Drosophila melanogaster: one gene and its partner. The protein of the gene in region 2 interacts with the protein of the main gene of each other region in a pairwise test. Each region holds a gene or a part of one and is shown on either strand. Other genes may lie near its edges.

What was found.
Region 1: the proteins of MCTS1 (region 2) and Aprt interact in a two-hybrid assay, tested with the Drosophila melanogaster proteins (one large-scale study listed by BioGRID).

Annotation. Positions count from the first base shown.
Region 1 is NT_037436.4:1,883,163-1,887,299, reverse strand, and holds Aprt (adenine phosphoribosyltransferase), read left to right. Parts: upstream 1-2,280; 5' UTR 2,281-2,514; coding exon 2,515-2,609; intron 2,610-2,739; coding exon 2,740-2,977; intron 2,978-3,051; coding exon 3,052-3,267; 3' UTR 3,268-3,408; downstream 3,409-4,137.
Region 2 is NC_004354.4:6,035,892-6,039,491, reverse strand, and holds the start of MCTS1 (malignant T cell amplified sequence 1), read right to left. Parts: upstream 1,601-3,600; 5' UTR 1,524-1,600; coding exon 1,513-1,523; intron 1,452-1,512; coding exon 1,299-1,451; intron 1,230-1,298; coding exon 927-1,229; intron 617-926; coding exon 535-616; 3' UTR 1-534. Other genes in the region: rux (roughex), read left to right, coding at 2,402-2,423, 2,514-3,499. UniProt on the Drosophila melanogaster protein: Regulates translation as part of a complex with DENR. Specifically required for translational re-initiation in mRNAs containing upstream open reading frames (uORFs). Not required for standard translational initiation.

The DNA of each region.
Region 1 (4,137 bases), on a different chromosome or scaffold from region 2:
TTTTTTTTTTGTCCAGGTGTGATGATCGTTTCTGCATATATTGTGTTCCAAACAGACGATTTCTTTTCTCCTCCCAGCAGGGAGAACCGCAAAACGGAACGGGATTGAAGACACGGAGAACCGGCAAAATTTTACTTTTTTTGCGGTCAGTTACTCAATGTATTGACAGCCGTTCCAGCTGCCATCCATTTTGGGAGAAGTCCGCTTTTTTCAGCGCTTACTTTTTGCGAAAGTTGCTGGTGGTGGATGCCACACAGCCCCTTTGAAGAGTCTTCAATCCGACCCGATCCCATCCAGAGCTGGTCCGCTCACTCATCCACTCGCTCGTGGGCCGCTGGTATGTGTCTCTGTTTCCCTACGTTTTTTATTAGATCACGATTTGGATGTTAGCAAACATTCGCGCATACCAAGCTGCCAACCATGATCAACGGGCCCAAACAACTACAATGGGGGTCTATGCATAATCGCAGCTCACAACGAGATTCTTCACTCGGCTTTTGCCTACGAAAAAGTCAGGAGCGGCTAGAGGTTCTATCTAATATCAGGGATATTTCAAATCGTAAGCTAATCTGAATCAGCTCTACTGACTCACACTCTGCAGTGTGAAATATGTGAACCATCTGTTCATAACATAACTTTTGGAAATATTACAATCCATCTTCCAAAGTTCGGCCATAAATTTCCCTTTTTCCTGCTGCTTTCCGAGCGCCCTATTTCCATGCCCTTCATCACGAAGGCCGCCTCTGCGCAGCCGCAGAAGTTTCGTTTCAGTAGAGATGCTCGTTTGCCTCAAAAAAGAAATATAAAAACAAAACCCAGCAGAAAAACAAAAAACTGTGCCTCTTTCTGGTTTTTCACGTTACTCGGGCGCGCAGTTGTTGTTGCAGTTGCAGTTGCAGCAGTTGTTGTTGCAGTTGCAGTTTTCGTACGCACGTCTTCACATTGCCAAGTTATGCATGTGTGTGTGACTAGCACACTGAGAAGAAATTGCGTTAAGTTTCTAAAATATTTCAGAAACCATTTCGAGTTGAAGGTTATCCAAAAGTATCAACTATTTTAAACCAATTTTAAACCTAAGACTACAATGCTTTTGTGACAAGTTTCTCAAGCTATTTTCCCAATTATTTCTCCAAGTGCAACCGTACAAGTATGCGATTGTGAATGTGTTTCTGCACTTCGCTATATTGTGTCTAATGTTGCATAGATACATATGTATATATTTTTTGTAGGTTTTCACGTTTTTATGTTGTTTGAACTTTGTTGTTTCAGTTGTTATTGGAGTAACTGCAGTATGGTTGTTGTTTATGGCTGCCTTTAGAGTCGTTTTCCGACATTTAAAATGGCAAAAACGGGGCGCAGTTTTGTCGTCTGACATTTACTTCTGCCGTTAAGATCGAATTCAAACTGAGGATTTGCAAACTCTTGCTTTTTCATGCGTTATTTCGCTGCTTACGTTGGTCGAGAACAGGTTTCGGTTTTAGCTGTTCCTCCGGACTATTGTTGTTATTTTAATTTACTACTATTGTTCGCGAGTTTGCATTAATTATTAAAAATCGCGGGCAAGGAATTCGAATTCGATCCGCTTCTTCCGAAGAAACCAATAAAACTGAACCGTCGCGTTCGGCGCTGAGAAACGAACTGAATCTTTCTTGGCATTGGGAGTCTAAGATACAGACACACAGATACTCACATTCACTTGCGTGCCTGTGTGAGTGGGCCACCGAGAGAAAGAGGGAACAAGAGAGAGAGAGAGAGATGGAGTCCAGGTGAGAGTTCCCGATCTTGGCCCGCCTTTGATAAGTGCAGCGAAAATTGTTGGCATTTCTTTTCAATCATTTAGCTCGATAAACAGTGCTGCATTCAATGTCTTTCCCTCAAAGAATTACTGAGATTTCTCCACTTATCTATCTGATAGCCTCGAGATCTGGAGAAAGACCCAGAGAAAAGTCGGGGGAGGTTTCTTAATGCCTCTTGTCTACCTGCAGGATGTTTGCCGCATTCATTGAACTGCTTTCTTTGTGCAAGCAAATGTCAAACCAAATGTTTGGTTTTGAAATAGCTAGCCGACATTAGAACTCTAAGATAAATGTGGAAATACACAGAAAATATACGAAATATCATATCATCAATATATATCATAAAGAGAAGAGTGGTTGTAGTTAACTAAATCAAAACCCATAAATTATATTGATTGCTTTCAATAGTGAAATACCGACGATTTGGCATTATATTAATTTTTTCCGAATTTATATTTTCAAAGCGTTTAAAAGTCCCCACAGCACCTTATCCACCTCAATTTCAAATCGACCGCGCAGCGAACTCAACACGACCGTTCATCGTGTGGCATATCTCCCATCTATAGCAACCACCTTCCCCGATATCAGCTGACTTATCAGCTGTTCCGTACGGCAATCCGCAGTTGGGCACGCACTCACGTAGCGCTACAGTCAGAAAACCCATGTAAAAAGTCCCTTATAACTAAGTTAATAAATAAATAAACATAAAAGTAGAAAAATGAGCCCCTCAATCAGCGCGGAAGACAAGCTAGACTATGTAAAGAGCAAGATTGGCGAGTATCCGAACTTCCCAAAGGAGGGCATTCTGTTCCGGTGAGTTATCGTCACTCGAGGTTATTAGATTGGAGCACTAATAGTGCTGCGATGATGATTATGGGCGAGCAAATGGACCCTTATCAGGTTGTTAATGTGTAAAATCATTTGTTTTCATATTAAACATCAGTGACATATTCGGAGCCCTCACCGATCCGAAGGCATGTGTGTACTTGCGCGATTTGCTTGTTGATCACATCCGGGAAAGTGCTCCCGAGGCGGAGGTCATCGTGGGACTGGACTCGCGGGGCTTCCTCTTTAATCTCCTCATAGCCACCGAGCTGGGCCTGGGATGTGCTCCGATTCGCAAGAAGGGCAAGCTGGCGGGAGAAGTGGTTTCCGTGGAATACAAACTGGAGTACGGTATTGTGAGTACTCCCAAATATATTACTTACTATTCCCAAGCACAAAGATGTTTATGCTTTCAACTTAATTATCCCAGGACACCTTTGAGCTGCAAAAATCCGCCATCAAGCCCGGCCAAAAAGTCGTTGTCGTTGACGATCTACTAGCCACAGGTGGTTCCCTGGTGGCCGCCACTGAACTCATCGGCAAGGTGGGTGGCGTTGTCGTGGAGAGCCTGGTGGTCATGGAACTAGTTGGACTGGAGGGTCGCAAAAGGCTGGATGGAAAAGTGCATTCCCTCATTAAGTACTGAGAGTTAATCGAATTGTGACGAAGCCTTCCACACTTGCATTTACCTATTCAACTAGCAAATTTTTATAAAAACTAGACAGACGCATATTTTTATAACGAAATATATTTGGCTCTGATAACAGAATCGTATAATCTCTCAATGAAACATAGCTTATTTTATTTTGAATAATAATACATGGGTTGACTATTACGGTGAAACATTTGTATAAGCAAAAAGTATGTAAAACAGCGACAAAAGCAAAAATAAATAACGAAACTTGGATATCGAAAACTATTTTTGGATAGTTTTCCGAACATAAATTAAATAATCTATTTTAAATTTTGGTGTTGTTATAGGGTTTTTAGGTATGTATATATTAAAGAATATATTACTTAAAAAAAGTGCACATGAAAATAATTATTAATTTAACTTTTCCAGCTATTTACGTACATTAAATTTTCTTTAATTATTAGCAATCCAAAAAGTATGCTTTGAAATATGTTACGTGAGTAAGAAGCAACAATGCAAACGGATGAAATTCAAACCAAGATTAACGGATGTCTTTAAATGGGTAAACATTTTTAACTGCTTAAAAATTATATCAAAAATATATTTTCTAAAAAACGATTTTCTCTCTCTGCGCACTCACTGCACTCTCACCTCCCTCTCTCTCTCTCTTGGCACATTCACTGATTTCGTCGCTCTCAAGTTTACCGTTACCGGCGCCTTTGCTCAGCGATAAACAAAAATTGTTGTGCTGCGTTAACCCAGAATTCGAGGAACTTCCGCCCCCGCCCAGCCCGCCGATAAACAAATCACACCAACCCAACAACCCCCCGAAAAGACACGGAAAAATAGCAACAAACCGAGCGCGCAAGGAAAAATCAAGGA
Region 2 (3,600 bases):
TAGTTATAAGCTCTTTTTTGTATACAATCTTTTCGTGTATTCACAAGTGCCCGGATATCAACTATAACCTTGAAATGTTTGTATGAGTTGTTCGCAGCCCTGGCAAACTTTAAGCTACAGGCCTTGTTTCGTTGCTCTTTAGACTAATCAATAAACAAAAGGAGTCACAGTTATTCAGTCACTCTTAAAATAAGAGCTAACAGAATGAAGACCGCCAAACAGAAGACTCAATGTTCAGTCATACCTGCCGAATCCGATTAAAATGCTCAAATTTAGATCCACTGGACACCTTTCACCTGGACCACTGGTCTCCACAGGTGGTTGGTTTTCTTTTTCAGTACTCTCTCTTTCAATCCCTCTCTGCTCGCTTGAAATGCCATTAATTATATTTCGCAATGTTTTAAATAGTTTAACTGACAGAGTAAAATTAGTAGAAAAAAATAATAATCAGGACTCAGTTGCGTATATCAAAAACCATTCTTTGCTCTCATGACATAGAAGACTAAAAAGTGCAAGTGCAGATTCCTATTTCGCCTACTTCACGGGCTTCGACTTCCACAGGCCGTCGTTGAGGAAGTGGTACGTCTCGATACCGATGCCTTTGTTCTTCGCCAGACTGTGGAAAAGTCAAGAGAAAAGAAAGATGTTCATGGTTTATTCAAATTTAAAAAATATGCACACGGCTCAGCAAATTGGTAACATTGTCCATTTATGATTATTCTTTCACAATTTGATTTTTCCAAGCTCAAGAATATTTCAAAGTTACAAAGCTTTACCATATTTAACCTAGCAACAAACTACTACGTTTGTATTATAAAACAATGTCAAAGACGAACATTTAAACACATTTAAGTAAACTAAATGCAAGCATATAAATTAATATTCTTAGATATTAACTACTAAAGAAGTGGTAGAAGCACACTTACATTTCCTGTGTGGATAACGTGAGGAGTCCAACGGCCAGGGCGTGCTCCTTGCCCTCAGCCATGATGGCCACCACGGTGTCCTTGTCGGCCGGCGTCATACAGGCGCCTGGCGATGTGAGGCCGGGACACATGACGTTCGCTCCGCTCAGGACGAAGCGGATGGCGCCTTTGTCCACTTGCTGCATGGTCACGAAGTAGGGGAACTTGTGCAGGAGGCGCAGGGTAGGCATCCAGGGGCCATCGCGGTGGCGAAAGAACACCTGGTCGCCGGCTCCGTTTAGCAGCAGTTCGATGTGGTCATGGCTGGTGGAGGAGTAGGGATCGGGAATATGAATGGAGTTATGTGCTGTGGCAAGAACTGAGCCATCCTACCACTTGGCGATGCGGTACGAGTCCTTCTTGGGCAGGATCAGGTCGATGTGACTCTCCAACTTGGGATAGGCCTCCAGCAACTTGGCACGTATGCCCTTCTGCACAGACGACTTCAGCTGCTGAATGCTGGAAATGCTGTCCTTCTCTTCGAATCTGCACAGATCGAATTGCTATGGTTAGTCTGATGTCCCCATCTAACTCATGCCATACGTACTTTTTGAACATTTTGCACGATTTCCTTGCGTTCTTTTTTCGTGGTCGACGGTGCTAATCCGTCTTCAATGTATGATAGAAGGTATCGGTTAGAGGTGGAGAAACATCGATGCCAACTCGATGTCATCGATGTTTTCGAAAAATCACAAGCATCGATGTGTTTCGAGGAATCATCGATGGTTTTCCATCGATACTGCGCATCGGAGATAAAAGTGTATAAATTGTACGTAAAAATTAATTTTCCATAAACGTGTAAGCGTGCACGTGCTCGTATGTATACTGGCTTACTTATCCATTGAATTGGACTAATTAGTATTTTTGTTTTATGGGAGCACTTACTGGACCGGCGACGTATGAAAAGCAATATTATGTTAGCAATATTAAAGAAGAAAATAATTCTTAAGTTGTAAACGACTAAGTCTGCCAAAGATCGATGTTTTTCGCCAAACACATCGAAAACATTGAGTCCGCCAACATCGATGTTTCTCCACCTCTAGTATCGGTTATAGAGCTTGGCCCGCTGTGCGGTGTGACCAGTTCTCAGCGGAATGCCAACTATCGCCCCTCAAGTGTGCATGCGATATATGGTATTAACAATTAACGTTTAAATAAAAATCAAACAATATTAATAGACTTAACAGATTAAAGTAATGTGATTTTTACAAGTACAACTAACGTAAAGATTTATCGGGACAACAGTAGCCGAATTACAAGTAGGCGCTGACCCCTGACCCCTCGAGCCGATAGCTAGCGTCACTTTCAACACTGGCCGATATGGCATATTACCAAAACATTGTTGTATCAACAACATAGTGTCCAAGTCGAATTGTATATATTGTAAATTATATTTATTTTTTATAAGCGCAATCGCATGAAAATACTTGAAGGAAATGAGCGCTCCAGAAGAACATAGTAAGTGGCAAACCAACGGATAACAGCTGTATGCGATTGGGCTGATCAATAGGAATCGCATCGCATCTCATCCGCTTGCTTTATTTTCAGAGGAGACGCCTTTGGAGGTGATCCATGAGTTCATCAATGGCGTAGATGATGGGACCATACGCCGCGACCTGGGGGAGGACTGCATCCTCAGCTTCTACAGTCGAAATGTGCGTGGCGCCAAGGCAATCACCGGATTTTTGAGAAACCAGTTGACAATGCGCTACAAGCACGAGGGATTCGAGGAAGCAGCACAAATTGAGTGGGGCGACGAACTTCTGCTGAAGGCGCGCTTCGGCAGATCGTTTGACTCGGAACGTCGTCGCATCTACGAGGAGAAGGAGCGCACAGGCACCACTCTGCATGTGCGTCCAGAGAGCGATGACGAGGAGGTAAATGAAAAGTTTTCCTCAACCCTGATCACACCGCCCCGTCCATCGAGCTACAATTTGAACTCCCTGAAGTATGTGGAGGCGTGTGGCCTGTTGAACAAGCGTAATGAACATATCTACGGCGGCCTGGACATGGGCGAGTCATGCGCGGTCCACCTTACTTTGGGCTATCGGAGCACCTTTCTGCCCGGCGGTCAAGTGAGCGGCTTTGAAATCTGCCTGGCTGTCTACGATCGGGGTCTGACAAGCCTCAAACGATCCACTCTGATTCCGCCACTGTGCAGCATTTCCTTTGCACGACGGGCCAGCGCCCGATGTAATCCAACCACCGATGATGAGGAGGATACCGAGGAGGATTCAACGCCGCCAACAGCGAGGCGCTGCGTGCGTCGTACTTTATTTACAGAGGAGAACACTCAGAAAGAAGAGGATGCCGATTTCATACCCGTGGTGGAGCAAGAGCAGCCAGCACCGCAGGAGCAGCCAGCACCGCAGCAGGCTGAGGAGACTGGCGAGGTAGTGATCCCCGTAGATATATCCACAGCCTTGAAGACCACAAATTTCAGCAGCTGTACACCGAGGAAACGACAACAGGCAACCAATGGCAACGAAGTAGTGCGTAAACGTGCGACGGGACCAAGGCGGATGCGTTTCTAGACCGGACAGATATTTAAACAGCTATAGTCCCTAGTTGCTTTTCCAAATTTACGTAGCACAATTATTTTCTTTGGCTTTCGAGGATACCCGACAAATTTCCG